Linked DNA regions of Notamacropus eugenii. The protein of the gene in region 2 interacts with the protein of the main gene of each other region in a pairwise test. Links are inferred from orthologs where the notes say so. Each region holds a gene or a part of one and is shown on either strand. Other genes may lie near its edges.

What was found. The genes of interacting proteins can lie anywhere in the genome.
Region 1: the proteins of SNRPA (region 2) and LENG8 interact in binary tests that used the Homo sapiens proteins (3 or more experiments, as listed by UniProt). The two-hybrid records come from large-scale screens. The link is inferred for Notamacropus eugenii from reciprocal best matches to the Homo sapiens genes SNRPA and LENG8.
Region 3: the proteins of SNRPA (region 2) and RBM42 interact in a two-hybrid assay, tested with the Homo sapiens proteins (2 studies listed by BioGRID and IntAct). The link is inferred for Notamacropus eugenii from reciprocal best matches to the Homo sapiens genes SNRPA and RBM42.

Annotation. Positions count from the first base shown.
Region 1 is NC_092876.1:13,671,409-13,678,559, forward strand, and holds the start of LENG8 (leukocyte receptor cluster member 8), read left to right. Parts: upstream 1-4,143; 5' UTR 4,144-4,210; coding exon 4,211-4,340; intron 4,341-4,672; exon of another isoform or gene 4,673-4,845; coding exon 4,846-4,933; intron 4,934-5,117; coding exon 5,118-5,292; intron 5,293-5,449; coding exon 5,450-5,632; intron 5,633-5,712; coding exon 5,713-5,826; intron 5,827-7,147; coding exon 7,148-7,151.
Region 2 is NC_092876.1:30,892,056-30,899,850, reverse strand, and holds the start of SNRPA (U1 small nuclear ribonucleoprotein A), read left to right. Parts: upstream 1-4,786; 5' UTR 4,787-4,889; intron 4,890-5,179; exon of another isoform or gene 5,180-5,639; intron 5,640-7,311; 5' UTR 7,312-7,334; coding exon 7,335-7,407; intron 7,408-7,577; coding exon 7,578-7,750; intron 7,751-7,795. Other genes in the region: ACTMAP (actin maturation protease), read right to left, coding at 608-921, 1,387-1,457, 1,567-1,696, 1,782-1,906, 3,012-3,080, 3,895-4,076. UniProt on the Homo sapiens protein: Component of the spliceosomal U1 snRNP, which is essential for recognition of the pre-mRNA 5' splice-site and the subsequent assembly of the spliceosome. U1 snRNP is the first snRNP to interact with pre-mRNA.
Region 3 is NC_092876.1:32,863,452-32,870,594, forward strand, and holds the start of RBM42 (RNA-binding protein 42), read left to right. Parts: upstream 1-4,135; 5' UTR 4,136-4,150; coding exon 4,151-4,347; intron 4,348-4,566; exon of another isoform or gene 4,567-4,973; intron 4,974-5,076; coding exon 5,077-5,191; intron 5,192-5,339; exon of another isoform or gene 5,340-5,368; coding exon 5,369-5,456; exon of another isoform or gene 5,457-5,546; coding exon 5,547-5,624; exon of another isoform or gene 5,625-6,111; coding exon 6,112-6,177; exon of another isoform or gene 6,178-6,291; coding exon 6,292-6,446; exon of another isoform or gene 6,447-6,802; coding exon 6,803-7,138; exon of another isoform or gene 7,139-7,143. Other genes in the region: HAUS5 (HAUS augmin-like complex subunit 5), read left to right, coding at 1,174-1,306, 1,445-1,556. UniProt on the Homo sapiens protein: Binds (via the RRM domain) to the 3'-untranslated region (UTR) of CDKN1A mRNA.

The DNA.
Region 1 (7,151 bases), about 17 Mb from region 2:
AAAAAAACCCACAACAAAATCCTTGTCTGTCTGCCCTCTGGGGCCAAAGAGAACATTTCTAATTGCTCCTTCACTCAAATGTTCTTCAAATACTCATAGAGAGGTCTCAGGTCTCCCTTGAGTCTTTTCTCCTTCAAATAAGCCAACCCTGGTTCCTTCACCTGATCTTCATAGGGTAGGGACTGTCTTCTTGAAACTGCTTTGCCTTTGCCTGTGTTACTGTAGTTTTCTAATAAAATGTGAGGTCCTGAAAAAACTACTTAGCACCTAGTACACTGCCTCAAACATAGCAGGCACATGGTGTTTGGTGAATAGGTTCTCACCTTTCTAGTTATCTTTCCTCTGATCCTCTCCAGCTCATCAAAATCCTTCCTGAAAGTAGGTGCCCAGAACTGAATACAAAATTCCTGGGCAAGGGAGAGGACCTTCATCTCCTTAGGGACAGGGAAGAGGGAATGGGGAAGCTTGTCCATCTTGGAGCTGGAGGATTTAGGATCTATATCTCAGCACTTTATAGATTGTGAACCTCTCTGGGCATCACTCTTGTCCCCTGCAATATGAGGGGGTAGGACTGGATGGCTTCTGAGGTCCCTTTCACTTTGAAGCTGTTACAGGCCTTATTTCTAGATGCTGTTTCCCTGGATGCATCCTAAGATTGGACTTTCTTTGCTGCCACAGTGCCTTGTTGACATAAATCTAGCTTGCAGTCTTTTTCAGGCTGATGGCTGCCTAGTTGTGAGCACAGCAGATAGCTCATGAAACTTGGAGTAGGAAGTCAAGTTCAAATCCTGCCTCATCACTCACTAGATGTGTGACCCTGAGCAAATCACTTAAACTCTCTGTGCCTCAGTTCATTATCTGTAAAATGGGGATAATAATAACACTTGCCTCCAAGGGCTGTTGTGAGGATCCAATGAGAAAACATAAAGTGCTTTGCTAACTTAAAAGATTACATTGAGGTTAACTATAATTTTATTGCATTCATGAAGTGGGTTTTGCAAAAATCCAAATGTAAGACATTTCTCTAAAATTTCATCTTATTGGCTTCTGCCTGGTGTTCTGGCACATCAAGGTTTTATGGAACTGTGACTCCATTTTTTCCTTTCCTTACAAGTTTAATTGTGGACATTTGTATCCATATCATGGTCATTTCTGGATATAGCAAAGTTAATTGTTACTCCTTCCCCCACCCCCAACCCCCAGATCTACACCTTGTAACAAAGAAGAACATTCTAGCAAAACAACTGATATAGCGAACCAATCTGGCCCTTCTGCCCTCCTGGTTTACAGAGGGGAAGTCTGGGTTATTATCTGCCCTCTGGAATCATCACTGGTTTTTCACTTACTCAGACTTCAACTTCCTTTGAGTAATCTTTTCACTGTTGTAATCATGGCTCTTCAGGTTCTGCTCATCTCAGTCACTTGGGGCAGCTAGGTGGTGCAGTGGATAGAGCACCAGTGCAGGAGTCAGGAGGACCTCAGACACTTGACACTCACTAGCTGTGTGACCTTGGGCAAGTCACTTAACCCCACTTGCTTCATCCTAGGTCATCTCCAGTCATCCTGATGAATATCTGGTCACTGGATTCAGATGGCTCTGGAGGAGAAGTGAGGCTGGTGACCTGCACAGCCCTCCCTCATTCCAAACAAAGTCAAGTGCAAGTCATGTCATCATTTCTCTGATGGCATGGTCTTCTTCAACAATGAAGGATGAACACACACATCTCAGTCACTTATTAGTTCATACAAATCTTCCTGTGATTCCCCAAGTCGTCATATTATTTCTCATGTCACCATTTATTTAATCCTTCCCTGACTGAGATGGTGCTTACTTAGTTTCCAAATTTTTGGTAACACTTAAGGGCTGCTGTGATTTGTCTGGTGTCCATTGGTACTTTGTGTCTGTCTTTGACCTCCAAGAGGACATGGCAGCTTTTCTAACCAACTTTGCATCATCTTTGAGTTTGATAGGGATATCATCTAGGTCTATAGTCAGTCAACAAGAACTGATTAAGCACTTACTCTGTACTAAGACCTGGGGATACAAAGAAAGGCAGCAGCAGAACATATTCTAATGAAGAGACACAGATAAATAACTACATATAGCCAAGATACATACAGAGGGCAGGTCATCTCAAAAGGGGAGGCATTGGCAGTTGGGGAGGAGTGAGGCAGGAACAGGTAGCGCAAAAGTACTGAGATGGGAGATGGAGGGTCATGGGCAAAGTCATTGATGAAAATGTTATATGGAACAAGGCTGAGAATACATTCCCTGGATCACTTCACTGGAGAGTTTCTTCCTAGCTGACAAGAAACCAAGAAGGATTAGTCTTTAGGTCCAATATCCTACCAGTTCCAAACTTAATTGGATTATGGTCCAGCCCCAATGTCTCCACCTTTTCCACAAGAATAACACAAGGAAGGAATGAGGGAAGGGAAACATTTATTAAGCACCTACCAAGTGCTAATGATGTGCTAAGCACTTTAGATATTTTGAGGTAGGTTCTACTGATATTCCCATTTTCCAGATGAGGAAACTGAGGTAGAGGTTAAGTGATCTGCTCAGGGTCTCCGAGTTAGTGTATGAAGCTGGATTTGAATTCATGACTCCAGGTTCAGGCTGTATTTACTGTGCCACCTAGTTGCCTCTAGCTGACTTTGTCAAAAATCTAGAGAAACAACATACAATATTACTATGATTTAACAGGTGAATACATGAAAAAACAATACTAAGGTTACTGTGGCATGATCCGTTCTTGATGAGACAGCCCACAGGGGCTTCTTGGAGCCACCATTTGCTTCTTTTGAAGATCATTAATCAGTCCTTTAATGATCTGCTCTGGAAAATTATCGATGATGGTTCCACAATCACTTCTAATGGTTCTGCCAGTGCCTAGGGTCACAGGTCATTGGAGAAGTATTCCCAGAATTGATTCGGGGCAACAAGGTGCCCTCAGAACGTGCCCTCTCTTCTTTTCTCTTCTTGTTCTGTGATCTGTACAGCTTAGGGATAACTCTGGTGGTCTGACTCCTTTTTGGTTTCAGAGGCCACATCTGCATCTGCCTTTTCTCTGCCCCCTTCAGTGCCAGGTCATGACTGGGGTCTCTTCCCTCTGTGCTGCCCTCTTAGTGCCCACATCTCCTCCCTCTTTGTACCACCTCAGCACCCAGGTCAGAACTGGAGTCTCCCCTCTGTCCCTAGGTCCTGGCCATGTCTCCTCTCTCTGTGTACACCCCTCCCCCCCCAGTACCCAAGTCACTCCCGGGCCTCCTCTGTTTGCACCCTCCAGTGCTGGGGTCTCCTCTGTCAGCTGCTCCTCCCTTCTCTCTCTCTCTCCCTCCCTTCTCTTTCTTTCCCTCCCCCCTTCTCTTTTCTCTCCCTCCCTTCTCTTTCTCTCCCTCCCTCCCTCCTCTCCCTCCCTTCTCTCCCTCTCTTCTCTTTCTCTCCCTCCCTCCCTCCTCTCCCTCCCTTCTCTCCCTCTTCTCTTTCTCTCCCTCCCCCCTTCTCTTTCTCTCCCTCCCTCCCTCCTCTCCCTCCCTTCTCTCCCTCTCTTCTCTTTCTCTCCCTCCCTCCCTCCTCTCCCTCCCTTCTCTCCCTCTTCTCTTTCTCTCCCTCCCCCCTTCTCTTTCTCTCCCTCCTCTCCCTCCCTCCTCTCCCTCTCTTCTCTTTCTCTCCCTCCCTCATTCTTTCTCTCCCTCCCCCCTTCTCTTTCTCTCCCTCCCCCCTTCTTTCTCTCCCTCCCCCCTTCTCTTTCTCTCCCTCCCCCCTTCTTTCTCTCCCTCCCCCCTTCTTTCTCTCCCTCCCTTCTCTTTCTCTCCCTCCCTTCTCTTTCTCTCCCTCCCCCCTTCTCTTTCTCTCCGTCCTTCCCTTCCCTCCCTCCCTTCTCCCTCTCTTTCTCTCTCACCCAGCTCAATACTCTACGATGAGCCTCCTCCCTCCTCTGCCCTAGTTCAGTTGGGGCGGGACTTGTCCCGGGGGCGGGCTCATTACGCCACTGCAGCTCTCATTGGCTGACGTTCGGAGTACCTTACCCCACCCCCACCCCCAGCCCCCTCTCCGCTTAGGCCTCCAGTACGGGAGGGCGTGGCTGGATGGGGAAGCAGTCCCAGTCTCACCTCTCATTGGTCCTTCGGATGGGCATTTCGAGTCTTTAAAGCGCCGGTCGGGGAGGGGAGCGGGCCCGTACGGGACCTCCCATTGGCCCCCGCGATGGCCACGGGGCGGGGCCCGCGGCGGCGTGCTGACGTTGCGCGCGTGCGCTCCCTCGCCACGTCCCTTCCTCCTCTACTACCGTCCCTCACGCGTTGGACTCAGCGCCGGAGGAAGAAGCTGCCGTCAGGTGAGCTAGCCTTTGGTGCCGCCATCTTGGGCAGGGCCGGGCCGCGGGAGTGGGACGAGAGGGTCTGGCCGTCGCGCTTTTTGTGCGCTTTCAGGGTTCTGCCGGGGCTCGAGGCCCCGTTCCCCGCCATCCCCGCTCACGGGCCCGGGCCAACGACCGCGGCGCGCGCCTCGGCTGCGGGGCGGTGGCGCCGCTGCGCATGCGCGCTGCCCGTCTGGCGCCGGCCGCTTGGGCGTTTGCGTCTCAGAGGCGCCGTTGCGCATGCGCTGCCCCCGCCCTCTCCGGGCAGTTTGGAACTCGGGGTTTGGAGGCGCGCGCCCGTGGCGGGGACGGTGCCGTGGGGGCGAGCGTGTCCCCGGGGCGCAGGCGCAGAGGCGGGGTGGCGGGCCGCCGGCCCATCGCCTCCGGAACGCCGGCCCCGCCGCGACTCTCCGTAGTCTGGGGCTCCCGGGTTGGGTGGGCGAGCAGGGGGAGCTCCCGCCTCACCTCCGTCCTCTCCCCGAAGCCAGACGCAGGCCGCCGTCCCGGGGCCCCGGTGCCCAGCCCGAGGTCCGAATGGCCGCCAATGTGGGGGACCAGCGGGGAGCCGAGTGGTGAGTGGTGTGGGGGCTTCCCCGGGGGGGGCATCCAGGAGTGTCTGCGGGGGGCCAGGAGGGGGTGCCCCCAGCAGCGTCCGGGCCCTACGGGCATGGGGGCCGTGTCTTGGGGCCCCCTTGGCCGCCCTGCCCCCGCGCCTCCGGGTTCCATGAGTCTGTGAGGTCATGTCCTGTGTGGCAGGGCGGCCCAGTACAGCCTGGGGAGCGGGCCGGCCAGGGAGAGCGCCATGGACGCGCCCATGCACGAGAACCCCGAGTGGGAGAAGGCCCGCCAGGCCCTGGCCAGCATCAGCAAGGCCAGCGCCACGGGCAGCTCGGCCAAAAACAGCAGCAACGGCCAAGTGGCTGCGGCCCAGGTGAGCGGGGCTGCCCCTGTGGGGGGGCGGGGGGGGCAGCCCCCGAGCATCTGGAGGTGATGGGAGCCCACCCCTGAGCTTCCTAACTGTGCTGAAGAGCATGAGGCCAGGTGGCCGGAGCGGAATCATTCTTGCCCCTTCCCCTCTTTTCCCCAAGTGTGTTTCGGAGCACCTGGGAGGAGGGTGTGTGTCTGTGTCCCTCACTCTGTGCCCTGCCCCCCCACCTGTGTCCCTTCAGTATGTGGCTCAGGCCGACGCCGCCGCGCTCCAGCAGCAGCAGTACTATCAGTGGTACCAGCAGTACAACTATGCCTATCCCTACAATTACTACTACCCTATGGTGAGTGCTGGGGGCTGGAGGGAGGGGGCCAAAGTGGAGTCCGCGTTGGCGTCCCCACTGACCGCTGGCCTGTCTCCTAGAACATGTACCAAAGCTATGGCTCCCCAGGCCAGTACAGTCTGACCACCACCTACGCGACAGCAGCACCGCAGCAGGCGGCGACCCCTGGGCAGCACCAGGGATCTCTCACCCAGGTAAAAAGCCTTAGGCTCCCACGATCTCAGCTCTGCTTCCCAGGAGCCAGAGGGCTGTGGCCTGTGTTTAAGCATTTGGGCTCTGGGCTGGGATCAGTCAGAAGGTCATAGATTCCTTGTTGGAAGGGACATCAGTCTACCTTTATCCAAACTCTTTGTTTGCCAGATGAGGACACTGAGGCCTGTGGAGGTGAAACACTTTCCCAGGGTTGTAGAGTTACTAAGGGTAAAACCCTGATCCTTCTTATTCAGTGCTCTTTCTGCTTAGTTAAGCTGTAGCTCATCTTGCCGGGCAGAGGGGATGACAAATCTCTGTTAATCCAGCTTTGGCTGCTGCCTCATGGGGAGATCCAAGGAGTCTCAGAGCCAAAGATTGCAGGGCCTCATAGGGCCTTGGATCACATGACTTAAGGGAAAGAGACCTGGGCTCTGGGCCAGAAGGCCTGGCTGAAAGCCTGGCCTCCAGCATTTATTGGAACGTGCTCCTGTGGGCCAATGTCTGTTTCCCCCACGTAAAGAGGGAATAGGGCCGGATGGCCTCCAAAGTCACTGGTGTGGGACAGAGAGCAAATTACTTTTCTAAACTTGAGCTTTCTTGTTGATAAAATGGAAATCCTTTGCACAGTCCCAGGGTACGTTGACATGGAAGGAGAACTCTTGCATTGGTCCAAAAGCACTCCGTTGATAGATTGCTGTTATACATCCCCAGCTCCATGAGCTTCTGCCCTTGTCTTTTATCTCTGGTCTTGGGTTTGCTCATCTGTCAAGTGGTAGGGCTGGCATTGGTGGTCCCAAGGACCCTTATTTGTCATATTAGCTATTGCCTCACACTGTCAGCCTCAGGGATTTTTAACCATGAAGAAATTTCTGGTGATTCTGAATTGGACAGGCAAAAAAAAAAAAACATTGTGTCTTTGTAGTCACTTCCTATGGAAATGTAGCATTTTCATCAGTTAAGGATCTTCAAAAAAAAAAAAAAAAAGCAACCCCAACAGTCTTCTGAGAAGAGGAGTCAGTAGGCACAGTGGGGGCCATAAATCCTTCCTCCCCTTCCCCCAAGCCAAATGTTTGGAACAGTGGGGTCAAACTTAAGTAGAAACAGATCTCTGTGGGTCACCTGTAAAAGTAGGAAAAAAAACAAAATAACACTGCGTTCTACATCTCGTTAAATATGTCTCGATTACCTTTTAAATATGTTTCATCTGTTTGAGGCCACCCTCATGGGCTAAGTGACTGGGGCCCAGAGTTTGATGTTTGGTTTAGACTGTGGCTTTGGCTGTTTAGATCTTCCCTGCAGTAACTACATTTCTTACCTTGCCAGCCTC
Region 2 (7,795 bases):
GTAGCAGAGCTGTGGGTTCGAGGCCAGACCTCCCTTCCCCCTCGCTGTCTTTTCACTACATACCCGCTGCCTCCCAAGAGTTCTAGCCTTAATTAAGCTTCTTTTCCTGGCCTGGAAGGGGGATGGAGGGGTGGGGGTGGGTCCTCTTTCTATGTATTTATAAAGAAGATTGGGCTGATGCTGGAAGAGATGGGATGGGGAAGGGACCTGGCCATTCCCTGAAATAAACAAAGCCTGATAAGACTGTTTTTCCACAAGTTTGGCTTCTGGTGAATTCCCTTCAGAGGGGAGTCTCAAGGGATCCACAGTTAGACAATACAGGATGCTCTTCTCATGCTGGCATGGCTGTTTATGAGACATTACATCCCCTCACCACACTCCACTACACAAAGGGGAAACTAAGTCCCAGGGCCAAGTAATAGCACAGACAGCCAGGACTAGGCCTTGGCTTCTGCTCTCCAGGTCCAACATTCCTCTACCACCAAAGCAGCTCGTTTGGGCCTCTCAGAATCTCCGTAGGACAGAGGATGGATGGGGAAACCAAGGACCTTAGCATCACACACGTGCACACACAGCAGGCCTGACTCCCAGGGGGAAGGTCTGAGTCCTAGGGTCGGAGCAGCAGGCTTTGGCCACAGAGGCCTGCTTGCACTCCGCCGGGAGGCACCACGTAGACCTTACCATCTGTGGTCCTGACTGGGGCCAGGTCAGTGAGCTGCAGGTTACTCTCACAAAGCTGTTCATAATCCCAAAGCTGGTAATGCCAGCTCTTGCCCTGCTTGGAGAGGAGGTAGACGGCCTCAGGAGGGTCTTCGGGGAGGAGAGGGAGCTTGTCAGATGCTGGGTAAAACAGGCCCTTCAACTCTGAGTCCTCTTCATAATCTGGGCTCAGTATTGGACTAGGAACTCCTAGCAGGAGGCCTGTGGGGGGACAGGGAGGGAAGGGCAATGACTGATCCCTGGCAGCTGACCTTACACACTTCTCTTCTGCCTGCCTCAGTTTCCTCATCAGTAAAATGTGGATAACAACAGCACCCACCTCCCAGGGTTGTAGCAAGGCTCAAACAAGATAACGTTTCTAAAGTGCTTAGTGCAGCACCTAGCACGGTAAGTGCCATGCATGGCACTTATTATTTTTAAGGCTCTTCTCCTTGGCCTTTCCCCAGGAAGTAGGAAGTCCAGCCCAAGGTGGGGATGGTCCTATCCCATTCCTTCCAGAGATGATGAACCCGATGCTGAGGGGGACAATCCTGGTCCCAGCCAGGGTCTCCAGCCACTGCCCCTGGGGGAAGGTGTGTTCTGAGGGCTAGCCGCTATTAAAGTAGCAGAGCTCTGCACTGAGGTCAAGGGTAGGGTGACCTCAGTCCCAACCTAAGCCAGAGTTACCTGCACCAACTGCCCAGTGGGCCTTGTGCCCCTTCTTCTTGCAGGGCTCATGGTTGTAGTCCTCATCATAGCTGGGCAGGGCCAGTCAAGGCCAAGACCTGGAGGGCAAGGAGATGTGAGCCCCTCTCTTGGTCCATACCACCCCAAAGAGTACCTGTGGCCCTAGCATGTAAAGGATACGGGACCAGCAGTGGGAAGCCTGCGATGAGGTGCTGGAGGATGTGGCATCGATTGGGCTCGCCCAGGCCCCCAGAGAGCAGCTCCACTTGGCATCCAAAGACCTCCTTGGCCAGCCTGGCCATACTGGCTGCTGCAGGGAAGAGGGGGAGGGTGTCAGTCCTAGGCAGATCTGGTCTGGCTAGATCACAGCTGCCATCTCCCCTGCTTTCACTGACCTGAGAACATCTCTCCTTGAGCTGTGTACCCTCTCTCCAGAGCCACGGCCACAATATTCTCCAAGGGGATGTCCTGGGGGAGAGCAAGCAGAGAGCCTGCCATCCACAGCGCTACCAACCCACACCTGAGAGGAGATGGAGGGCAAAGCAATGTCACCCCAGCCCTGAGGCCCCTCCCCAAACTCCAGCATGTTCCCAGGCCAGCCTACAACGGGAAGAGGAGGGACTTCTATATAGGCAGCATTCTGAAGAGACTAAGGAGAATTTTCCTGGAAGAAATCCAGGGCTAGAGTTGAGGGCTCATCCTGGGAGGCTGAGGGAACAGAAGGTGTGAGAAGAAACCCTAGGCCCCAAAATCTTGAAAGTGGGGAGAGGGCTCAGTGAGGTTTGGCAGGATGGAGGGACTGAGAAGGCTGGGGGAGTATTCTGAATTGGGTCAGCCTGGGGATCAGACCTGCCTGATGGGGGGAGCTGTGTACTAGGCATGAGGCCACAGAAGGGGACCTAGCCACTCATTCTCTCCTACTCTCCCTCCTTGGCTCTTTCCCCCTCGATGGAGCCTGGGATCCTCTCTGTGGCCTTGACTCTCACTCTGGGCAGTGGTGGCAGCACTAACATGAGTCAGTGACAAGGAGGACTGGCCCCTGCCCTGTCCAGACCCCTCACTGAGGAGCCTGGAGCAGCAAAGGACCTTCCTGGATTAGTCCAGGCTTTACTTTCTAGATGAAGAAACAGGGACTGAGCTGGGACTCAGACAGCCCAGTGGCTCTTTCCATGGTACTTGCTGGGTACCGGGAGCCTCGAGCACCTGGACGTGGATCCTGAGGACCTTTGTCAGTGTCTTGGCTAGGCAACAAGGATAGTATTAAAAGACTGATGGTGCTTCATGCAACCTGAAGCCATCTTCTCCAAGCAGGAGCTATTGTGCTCATCTCCCAGGCAGGAAGGCCCAGAGCAATGCACTGCTTGGTCCAAGGTCACACAGCTAGTCAGCAGGCAGGGCGGGCCAAGCCCAGAGTTCACAAATCCCAGCTCAGTGTGTCATCATGCAATACTGATCCATCCTCTGACCCAGCTTATGGAGGCACCTTCTGACCCCTGGTTCTTCCCCCCAAACATCTCACTGGGCCCATCTCAGCTCTCAAGGGTGGGTGGACTCTATCAAGGACCCCTGTTCTCTGCCCCATCCCAGGAGAGTGAAAGCGGCAGGGAGCGGGGAGGGCTACCTACTGAGGCCCTTCTTGGATGAGGGAGGGCACATCGGAGCAGAAGAGGATCCACTTCAGATCGCTCCTGAAACTGATGAAGACGCGTCATTGGCCAGAGTCCCCGGGAAGCCATCCAGGCCAACCTGCCACATCCCACCAGCTGGGGATGGTCTGGGTGAGATGACCAGAAGGAGGGGACGCCGCCCGTGGGGCGTTCCCTTCCCTTCATCTCATTCTTCTCCCCACAAGGGTGGGACTTGGCAGCCTCCGATGACATGCTAGGCTCATACTGTACGTTTTTACGAAATGAGGCAGGGCCATCGGGAGCCAAGGCGTGCCCCAGCTCTGCTTTCCCAGGCATCCACCTAACACCCCTCACGATCCTGGGAAGCAGATGGCGCACATACCATGGTCCTTGTTTCACAACAACAGCTAAGGTGGACAGAGTGCCTACTCTGTGCCAGGGGCTGCACTGCGCCCCTCAGGCCCTGGGGGCAGGGTCTGCAGTTATCCCTGCTTTGGAGATGAGGAAACTGGGGCAGGCTGAAGTGCAGTGACTCGTCCAGCACCCGTCTGAGGGCACAACCTGAACTCGGGGCACAAGTCTGCCGGATGGAGGTCACCCCCACGGCACCCCCCAGGCCAAGGCCTCCTGCTCCACCGGCTCAGCGGCTGTACGCCGAGGTCACTGGGATGCTGCCCATGGGGCGAAGCTCTGTCCCTTCCTGGCTGGGTGGACTCAGACCTTTCCCTGCTCCGGGACTCAGTTTCCCCATCTGTAAAATGCCAGTTGGGTCACACGATCCCTAAGGGGTGTGAGGTGTGGATGAGCCCCCCGCCCCCGTCTGGGCCCCTGGGGGGGACAGAGGCAGCGAGGCCGGGACCCCTGGGGAGTTGGGCCCTACCGGTCTCTGCGGAGCCTCAGGAGCCGGCGGACATCCTCCCGAACCCCCAGCCCCGGGTCCGACCTCGCCAGGGCTTCCTTCAGGAGCCGGCCCTTCTCGAGGCCGAAGACGTGGGGGGGGCTGGCAGGGGGGGCCGGGGGCGGGGGCAGCGGAGGGGGTGGGGGGCACCCCACGGCAGCCATGGCGGGGCGGGGTGCAAAGGGCACGGGCCGGAGGAGGAGGGTCTGGGGGCTCAGGCCCAGGGCCAGGTGGAGGCAGCGAGGGTCAGGGGTCAGCGGCCCCGAGGGCCCAGGGGAGGGACCGTCAGGGGTGAAGCGGGATGGGGGGAAGGGGTCTGGGGAACAAAGAGTGGAGCGGGGGCCCAGAATAGGTCAGGAGGAAAGGGGACTTTCCAGCTAACGAGTTCAAGTCTGGGGTCAGCCTCGGGGGCAAGAGGGAGGCCAGAGGGCAAAGGTCAGGCTGAGCCCGGTGCAGGTGCCAGCAAAGAAATGGGCTCCAGGGCCAAGGTCCAAAAGGCAGGAAGCAGCAGGGGGGAGGGCGAAAAGAAGGCTACCCAGGCCGAAGTTTCCGAGCTCCCGCCCACGCCCCCAAACCACCACCTTCTCAAGATGGCGGCCGCCGCCGAATCACGTGACAGACTGCCCCTCCTCCCCTTCCCCATCAGCGTCCATCCCCGCCTCCAGTAAGACTCCAAAGTATACGAGCTGCGTAACAGGCCATGCGCAGCGCACAAGGGCGCGGCGAAGGAAACGAGACTGCCAGACCTCCCCTTCTTCTTCTTGTCCATTCCAAGACGCGGCGGGAGTCAAAGATACGTTCTGATTGGCGAAGCCTGCGCAGGTGGGGCGGGGATATCTCTGGTTGGCCAGACGGCCAGACATCCTGCGCCTGGATTGGTTCTCCTTAGGATGGGGGCGGGGCCTAGCGCCGCTGAGCCCCGCGGAGGAGGGACCCGCCACAGAGCGACCGGCGGAACTCGCGGACGCACGCCATTAGTAAGTATTGTCCGCGGGCGGCCGTCATCGGGCCTGGGCTGGCGAAGTTTCTCCGCCCCGTACCTTCGGCCGCCGGTGTTCGGCGTCCCCCTCGACGACCCCACTCCCCAATCTGCCCCCTCCATCCCCTATCCGTTGCCCCCCCCACGGGCTCTCGCCTCCCGAGGAGGGGCGGGGCTACGCGAACGTTCGCCCTTGGCGGCGCGCCAGCCGGCCTCGGACACGTGGCCGGGAGCGCGCGCCCGGTGGCCTCCGCCGGTACCCTCCTCACCCCCTCTCCTCCCTCGCAGGCCCAGCCTCCGCGGTTCCGGGGGGGACCCGGGAACGCCGCTGCTCCGGGATCAGCCGCCCGGGGGCAGGCCCGGTGGTGCGGTGGCCGGAGCCCTGGATTTGGAGCTAGAGCTGGCGCCCGCGTGAATCGGGCAAGTCGCTCGGGGGGGACCTCGCTGACACCCCCGGCCCACAGCGCCCTGGTTAGCGTAAGCTCCCTGCGGCCGCCCAGGCCCGCGCCTGCACGAGGGCCCCGCGGTGTCACTTGGCCCTTTCGAGGCTCCCGCCCTCCATCTCCTTGGTCTTTGCCATCGTGAGCCTCTCCGACTTGCCTTGGCTCTGCCACGGCCCTCACCTTTCTGCAGAGCGCCGCCCTTCCACGGGGCCAAGTCCCTGTGTCCAAAACGGGACCCCTTCTCTTTGCCCCCAAAACGGTTGTTCTAATTCAGGGGCGCCACCGTCGATGCAGTCATCTCCAAGGTCGGCTCCTCACTGCGTTCATCCCCCTGTGTCCCGTCACTTGGGAAGCCCCCTCCACTGTAGGCTTCCTATTGCCCATCTCATACTGGCCCGGGGTACGGGCCCCTATTCACCTCTGTGTCTTTTTCCTGGGGCTGGCAGTGCCCTCCTTTCTTCCTCCTCTTAGGCTCCAGTGCCCATCAGCTGTGATGCTGTCCCAACCTCATGGGAAGCCTTTCCTTGGCCATGGGAGCTCATGCTCTTCCCCACCTGTTACCTGGCATGGGCGTCTCTTGGCCCAGGCTTGTCCTATTTCTCCCCCATTAGAATTAGAGTTCTTTGAGAGCAGGGACTGTTTGAACTGGGCCCAGCACATAGCAGGCTGAAATAAGTGATGATGGGGGAGGATTGAAATGGATGTTGGCCTGAACCACTGGCTGGGCAAGAAGATTGGGAGATACTTGGGCTGGGGCCATCTTGGAAGGCCTAGAATACCAATGAAGGCAACAAGGGTGTTGATGTGCTTTGGAGGCACCTTGTAATTGAAAGAGTCCTAGACCTGCTTTGAATCTCAGCAGGAGGTTCAAATTGGGGTTAAATGAGTTGTCTGGGGTCACACAGCTAGTAAGTGTCTGAGGCTGTAGTCCTGACTCTAGGGCTGGTGCTCTATCCACTTCAGTTAGCTGTCTCTCAGCTTTGAGTCTTAATGGTTCTAAGTTATATGCCTTTGAATCCTGCGTTCACCTCTTGTGTTTCTGTGTCCTCATATAAAAAATGGGTGTAGTGGTGTCCCTCCTTGCCTCACAGGGTTGTTGGGATGATAGGTAATGAGAATGTATTTCAGAGCACCATATCCAAAGAACTTCATGTTTGGTTTGGCCTCTGGTCTTGTCTGGGTGGGAGTTTCCCCAGATGTAGTCAGATCAACAGCTCATGTGGAACTTAGTGTTGTGCTTGCTTGTATCACAGAGCTCACAGAACTCGCCAAGGGTCCCCCAGGCAGCATGTGTCTGAGGCAGGACTCTGTTTCTTTAGGCTTCCCCTTGAGCCTGGGTGCCAGGCCCAGTGACCTTCCTCTTCTGTAGTTCCTTTACTCTTTCCTGTCCAGAAGGCTTGGCCATGGCATCCACATGGCCTTTTGGCACCTCTTGTAGTGTTAATGATTTTCTCATGCTCTTTGTTCCAACAAGCATTAGTTGAATTGAACTGAGAGCCTGCTTTGTGGGAGCCATCAATGAGATTGAATTCCATTTCCTTGGTGCTCTTTGTGAGTGAGCTCCATTTGTGGAGCCTACATCTTGTGGCTAGGAAGGTGCCTAGGATTGAGTTGGTGAGATCTCTGCTTTCTTCCCTCCTGCTGCCCCAGTCACTCTGGGAAGTTCATGGGAGACAGGATGGGAAGGGGAGAGGAGTCAGGCTTTCTCTGCTTGAGTCTAGAAGGCAGTACTAGAATTGGTGGGTGACAAGTTGTGGGGAGGCAGATTTTGGCCAGTTTGTAAACAGTAACTTGTGAGTTTCCCAGAAGTGTCCCAGGGCCCAGCGAGCTGCCTCATGAAGTCTTCTGGCAGATGTTGAAGCAAGAAAGGCCCCTTGTTGTCTTGCCTTTGGCCTAGGTGGTGGCCCTGGGATTCTTGGGACGAAGGGGCTGAAGGATGTCTCAAGCCGGACTAACCTAGGCCCACTGTTTTTTCAGGCCATATTCAAGGGTTTTCCACTATGGCAGTTCCTGAGTCACGTCCCAACCACACCATTTACATCAACAATCTCAATGAGAAGATAAAGAAGGATGGTGAGTGTGAGGCCCTTTCTTTCCCCCCAATCCTCGGAGTAGCCCATTTGAGGCCTGAGAATGAAGTCTCAGGGCCTTGGGCTGGGTCACCGAGTGTGGTGGCTGGGGTTTCCTCTTTCCCCTAGGGAGGCTGCTGCCTGACAGCCCATCTCGGGGCTTTCTTTCCCCAGAATTGAAGAAATCCCTGTATGCCATCTTCTCCCAGTTTGGCCAGATTCTGGATATCCTGGTATCGAGGAGCCTGAAGATGAGAGGCCAAGCGTTTGTCATCTTCAAGGAGATGAGCAGTGCCACCAATGCTCTGCGTTCCATGCAGGGTTTTCCCTTCTATGACAAACCTATGGTTAGCACTTTAACAAATTCAGGTCCCTTTAAGACAATGATAAAC
Region 3 (7,143 bases), about 2.0 Mb from region 2:
CAAAGCCCTCTGCTCTTCCAAGGTCCAGAGTTCTGGATCGTCAAGGCCTCTTTGGCAAGTCAGGCCAGGGACCCCAGAGCCCTGCAGCACCCTGGTCTGAACAACATTCTCCCTTCTCAGGGCCCTTCCTGTTTGGGGCTTTTGGGGGGAGCACTTCATTCTGGCTGCCCATACAGGCTGCCCTTGGCCCTGGCCCTTTTCTGGTTGTTCTAGAAGGCTGTATAGTCTTCCTTGCTCTGCTGATGGGCCCTTTTTCTATGGCCTGTGGACTGATGACTTTTGGTGCAGTTTTGGGGTGGAAGAAATCACTTTTTGCAGTTTTCAGTCTATTTCTTGGTCATTATTCAGTCTGGAGTAGATTTCAGGTTTTTGCTGAAGTAGGTGTCCAGGAGTTGGGTAGGCCTCAGTATAGACAGCCATCTCAGCCAGAAATCCCCTTCACCTCAGGCCCAATCACCTCGATGATCTCTACACCCCCTCCTTCTGCCACATGGCTAGCTCTTGGCAGCAGAAATGCATGTGTGGATAGTGTAGAGGCAGAATGCCTGGGGTCCAGCACCAGGGGATGTTTGAGGTCAAGGAAAGGGAGGCGTCAAGGAGAACACAAAGGTTCGTGGGAAAAAAATGGCCCACGCAGTGCTCTTCACACATGTGCAACTTTGAATGCCCAGACCTCAGCAGATGAAAATCAGATTAATCTGGAGGAGGTGAACTCAAAACAATGAAGTACCTGAAATGCTGTGATTCAGAAGACCCCTTGGACTCCTTGGCTCTGTGGAGGTTGAATTTGATGATGATGGCCAAGCCAGACTTGCTGGTGCCTGTGCATTTATTTGTGCAGGCCATGCCATCTGCCTGTAGAGAAGACAGTCCTTCCTCATCTTTGGCCAGGCTCCCATCTCCTTTGTAAAACCTGAAGCAGTTTCCCCAGATAAAAGTTATCTGCCTCCTTAAATTTTCCAAAAACATTGCATCTTATTCTATTTTCCAACCTTTTCACTCTCCCTTGTTTCTCTGCAAGACTTTTCTGCCTTTTAGACTGAAAAGTCCTTGAGGGTAGGGACTGGATCGTGTATGTGAAAATCCCACTGCCAAACGAGGTCCTGCCCAGTGGAAGGGGTTAATGGATGCTCACTGAGTCACGTTGAATTGCTTCCTCCCCTCCCCCCCCAGAACTACTTCAGATCCAGGAATCTGAGGAGAAGAAGCAGCAAGAGCACCTGGGGCCCATCCTGCATCGCCTCGAGGAGCTCATGGAACAGGGACTGGACCACATCCCCCAGCTACTGAAGGCCGTGGGGGACTGGTGAGAGGGGGTGCCCTGGTGCTGAGGGACCCGGGGTGGGGGCTGAGGAGAACTGAGAAGGGGATGCTCCAGACCTGGGCTGGAAGGAGGATCCAGGACCTCCAGGGACCTAGCCTGTCCCTGCCATCTCGCCCCCAGGTGGGACCAGCCAGGGCAGAATGCACTTCCCGAAGAGCTCCAGGACCAGGATGGCCTCTCCCTCCAGCAGTGGAAGCTTCGCTGGGCACGGGCCCAAGGACGAAGAGCCTGAACGCTGAGGTTTGGAGCAGAAGCACAGAGCCAGACAGTTATTGGACTTGAAAAGAATTGGTTTCATCCTTTCACTGTTAAAGTGACAAATTCCTGCTCCCAGTAAAGTGCTTAGAGATTTCAGGACCAGGGCTTTTCTCTGTGCATTTAACCTCTGACCCTTAAACTTCTCCAGTCCTTCAGTGCCCCTGGACCAACTCATGTGCTCTTGGCCCTTGACGTGTCTGGCCTGTTCCCTCAGTTAAAACAAGAGGAGGCAATCAGGGTTTCCTGGGGCAGGATAGGAAATCAAAGACTTGAGATACTCCTCTAAGGAAGGGGGTAGGGGGAGCAGATCTGTGCCAGGTGGACCAGATGATGGGGTTGGGAGCGGAGGGTGAAAGAAGCTCCCACTGTGAAGGTTCTTAGGACAGAGACCAACCCCTTGGAAGGGAAGAAAATCTGACCATGACCTAAGAGCTGGTTTCCACACTGGCACCCTCAGGGTGCCCTTGGCTCCCCCTGGCACATGTTAACATATTGGGGAGGAGGGACTGGCAGTAGAATGTGTAGGGTACCTCCCTCTCCTTAAGTTTGGCCAGGGCTGTGGTGGCCCTTTCCTGGGGAGGATACAGTGGCATCTTTACTCCTGGTGGCCCTGGGGCCACATGGGGACCGGGTTGTTCTCATGAAATTTTAGCCTTCCTGGATTTTTTCCCAGTATTCAAGGACTGAACAGGAGGGCCTGCTTCAATGTGTAGTATATCTTAGTAATGGGAGATGCTTCAGGGATCTTGGATCCCTATGGAAGTGAGTCCCCCCCAGAGTTCCCAAAAAAGGGAAATGCTTCCCCAGGCCCTGGGGTACTCGGCTGCCATTTTCTCCTCAAGGTCTTGCTTAGGAGAGTAGCAGTGTATTTATTGGGGAGTGGAGACAAGGCAGGGGAAGGGGCCAGACCCTGAGCCCCTGCTGGAGAGCCATGCCCTCTGAGATGCGGTGCTTCAGCGCTTTGCTGTCTGTCAAAGCTTTGTACTCCCAAGGTACTTAGACTTCCCCACAGATCCCAGCCAGGAACAGGATGAACCTGGAAAACTAAAGGGCTGGCTGCTGTGTCCCCTGTGTTCCCCCCCCCCCCCCCCCCAGCCCCATATGCTTTCCCCATTCCCCAGGAAACCTAAATTCCAGTGACCTGGCTGAAAAATCAGGGACCACAGCCCTATCCTGACTCCTATCCAATCTCGACCCTAGGTCTCCTCTGTTTCTTTGCCTTTTGAAGGCAGGAAAGAGGGGGTCTGTGAGGTTCCTTCCGAGTGTGAAATTTGGGATCCATTTTATTATTCCTCAGTTCGTGTTAATAGGAGTTGAATGTGACCTTACTCAAATCACTTCCCGTTTCTGGGGTCTCAGCAAGGCAAGGACTTGGACTGGACCAGATGATCCCCAAGGCTCTCTTCTGGGTCGGGTTGAGAGGTGGTAGCAGAAGCTGTTGGCCTCCTTCCCAAAGCCCCCCTCTGCAGTAAAGGCCTCCACTCCCTCTACCCCCCTCAGGAATCCGGGCGCTTCAGTTACCAGCCCACAAACCTTCAGTGTTGCCTCTGAGGCTCTAGTAAAGCCCAGCTGCAGCACTCCACTGGAGGAGTCTGCACGAAACCGGGTGCTCCTGGGAGTGGGGAGGGACTGTTCCCCAAGGCCATTTGTCTCAGTCTGCCTACCTCCAGGGATCAGGAGAGTCCTCCGAGCCTTCTCTGGCCTCAGCTAGACCTGGCATTTCCTACTTCTCCCTAGAAAAGGCTCATCTCGGCTTCTAGCTGGATATGCTCCCCGGAAAGAGTTTTCCTCCCATACCCTGGCAAAGGTGATCATCCCATCTTTTCCCACTCGTGCTTCCCTCTTCGGTTTTGATAGCTAATAGTATTTCTGTAACGCACATTGGGCAGACGTGTCCTGGGAGGGAGGTGTATTGTCTTTATTTTACAGATGAGGTAACTGAGGCTCGAGGTTTAGTGACGTGGACGGCGCGTGCTTACAGCTCGTAAGCGCTACACCCCGTGCTCGGGCCCTTCCCATCTGCTTACACTTCGGATCTCCCCAATCTTAAAAGGCTTCACAACCCGTATCACTGAGCTATGCATCCCCCACTCTTTCCTTGTTCACCTATTAAAACTGGCTCCTTGCCGTGCCCCCCGAGCCTGCACCCTCTCGCTCCGGGGGACTCACGAAGGCTTTCTTTCCGGGCTCACCAGCCTGCCAGCGCCTCCTGAAAACCGGCCTTTCAAGGCTCTACTACCCCAGGGCTCCCCACTGCAGCCCCTGCACTTTCCAAGTAGAAAAGCCAGAGCGGCGAGAATTTGACGGAGTCCAGGCAACACTCGGGCCAGTTATAGGCGGGCTAGGGATTAAACCCGAGTCCCCAGCTCTAGACCAGGAACGCCCCCGCCCTCCCAGCAGGAAAACAAATCTCCCCCGACACTACTGGCCGATGGAAACAAAGTTGCAGGCTGGGGGCGTGGTCTCTGGTTCCTTGCGCTCTCATTGGCTCAGGAGGCAAGGAAGCAACTGCGCTTGCGCGCCTGCCGGACTCGCATAAAGCGAAGCTGATTGGTGCCACTTGAGCGCATGCGTTCTGCGTCATCGGCGTGCGTCGGCAAAGAGAGACAGACGGCGGAAGCGGCTGTGGCGACGACGATGGCTGGGACAGGGCCGCCCCCGGGACTCCCGGGTGCGGGGGTAGCGTTGCCCTCGGGCCCAGGGCCCTGCGTGCCCGGGAAGAGCGGCGAGGAGCGACTGAAAGAGATGGAGGCGGAGATGGCGCTGTGAGCCCCTCCCTCCCCCCGCCGCGCCCGAGGCCGGGCCGGCAGTCCCTCTGCCTCCGTGCCGGGGAGCCCGGGAGCGGGGAGGGCCGACCTCGTGGGGGTGGGGCAGGGAAAGGGGGCGGGGCCTACCCGTTGTCTCCGGTCCTCTGGCTGGGCCTGGGAAGAGCGATCCCGCACCGCCCGCTGCCTCTGGCCCCTCCTCGGGGGTGAGGCCGCCTGTGTCCCCGCCTCCCTTCATCTCCCATCCCTGTGGGTCCCGTCTCTGAGACCTCACCTGCTCTAGACGACTCCCTTCGGCCCTAAGGCTGGACGTCTCTGCCCCTGCTCCGTGTCTTCTCTCTGGATGTATCTTTCCGTCTCGTTCTCTCTTGTTGGTGTGTTTGTCTCCGTGTCCCTCCGGAGGTGGCTCGGGCTCTGCGTAGTCCTGATTTTTTATCTTCTTTTTACTTTCCCTGTCCACGTCCTGGTCTTAGTTTTTGCCTCACTCTTGCTGTTTTTTCTAAACTTTTTCTTTGTCCGATTACTTCCATCTTTCGTGGTGTCTCTTAATCTTCGTCTGACTCCCATGTTTTTCTTTCTTATACTTCTCCCTCTGTCCTTCAACATTCCCAAGTCTCCTTCCGAGCCTGCAAAGAGAGAGGGTTGGACCAGGTGGCTTCTGAGATCCTTTTTGGCACCAAACCCAGTGATTCTTCTGTGTGTCTAAGTCATTTCTTCTTTCTGTCTCAGGTTTGAGCAGGAAGTCTTGGGGGCTCCAATATCTGGAATTCCAACCCCAGTTGTACCAGCTGTGGAGCCTGCACCTGTGATCCGCCCAATCATTGCCACCAACACCTACCAGCAGGTAGGGCGGTCTAGTGTACCTTCTGGTGGATGTGTAGACTCTTACCATTCAACTAGTTCCTCAATTCCAAACCAGCTTTTATTCTTTGTTCCACTTGTCTATTAGTCTAGACTCCCAAGAAAAAGGGAATTTGAGCTCCCTCACTGACCACTTTCTCTTGTTCTCCCTCCTGGTCAGGTCCAGCAGAGCCTGGAGGCCCGAGCAGCGGCAGCAGCCACAGTAATTGCTCCCATTGTAGGTCCCCCTGGCCCCTTTGTGGGTCCTGGTGAGTTGGGAAGGACGTAAGAGGGAGGGTGGGTCAAGAAGGAATAGTCCAGAAGGTCCCCCCACCAATGCAGTTTCTTCTCCTCTACAGTTGGCTTTGGTCCTGGAGGAGATAGAGGTCGTCTCGACAGCCCTGAAGCCCGGGATGCCATGTTCCTTCGCCGGGCGGGTCAGTGCCCAGGACCCAAAGCCTAGAATTCAACATTCTCTGCCCCTAATACACACACGCTTAGTGCCCATACCTCCACCTCCAGTAAATATTTAGCCTACCCAGGAAATCCCTCCAGGACAGTCACAAAATCCTGAGACTCCCCCAGAATTTTTTCCTGAGCCCTTAGAACTCCCCAACAATTCCACAATGCCTCTTCAGAGATATTTCTCCCAACCATGGTACCTTTCCAGAGACCTAACCCCAAGGGACCCCAAAAGATACCGTCAGGCCCTTTAAAACCATCTAACCCCTAGATACCCAACCGCTCCTCCCACATACAGATCTCCCAACGATCTCAGGACTCCCTGAGATTCAAAAGACTGATTCAGAGGTGCCAGCAGTGACCCTAGGACCCTCTCAACCCCTGAACCCCTGAGGCCTTCATTCAAAGACCCTGAAACATGGTCCTTCACACCCTGTCTCCATCTCTGTCTGTGTCTCTCAGCAGTGCCCCCGCAGCGTCCCCCCATCCTGCGCCCAGCCTTCGTCCCCCATGTGCTGCAGAGAGCGGGTGAGAGAAGGGCCTAGGGAATGTTCCTGGCCCGGCCCCATCCCCTCTTTGGCGTCCCCGGCACCTCAAAGATCCAGGGACCCCCTTCACCACACACTTTCTCTTTCTCTTTAGCAGGTGGCCCACGCCCCATGGCTCTTCGGCCCCCACATCAGGCCCTGGTTGGGCCTCCCTTACCTGGTCCCCCTGGACCTCCCATGATGTTGCCACCAATGGCCCGGGCACCAGGACCCCCACTTGGCACAATGGCGACCCTGAGGCCTCCCCCAGTGAGTGTGCAGGGCATGTGAGAAGGGAATGCCTGGGGATACAAACATCCCTATTGTAAACCCTAGAACCCAGCCCCCAACTTTAACAGTATCATCTGGATCTCCCCTAGATGTCTTTGGTTTCTCTGCATCTCTCTATGTTTTCCTTTCTTGTTCTTTCTCTATATCTGTTTCTTTTTTCTTGTCTCTTTTCTCTCAAGCTCTGAACCCACTCAGGTACTCCACAGTCTGAGCTGGGAGTGCCTGCTGACCCTGGGTGGGGGCCAGCTCCCCATGCCCTCCCCATCCCTGGCTCTGAGGCCCTTTGTTCCCTTCTATTTCTCTTGATAACCTTCATCTCCTTGTGTTTTTGTCAGGAGGAGCCTCCGGCCCCTCGGGAACTAGGCCTAGGCCTGGGCCTGGGTCTGAAAGAGAAAGAAGACGCTGCTGCTGTGGCTGTGGCAGCTGCTGCGGCTGCAGGGCTTGAAGAAGCAGGGGCAGCTGTGGGGGGCCCAGGAGCTGCAGCAGTCATTGGGCCCAGCCTCCCCCTGCCCTTGGCCATGCCGTTGCCTGAGCCTGAGCCCCTGCCTCTACCCCTGGAAGTCGTTCGGGGACTGCTTCCACCACTTCGAATCCCTGAGCTCCTGTCCCTAAGGCCCAGGCCCAGGCCCAGGCCTGAGCCCCAGCCACCCCCAGGACTCATGGCCCTCGAGGTCAG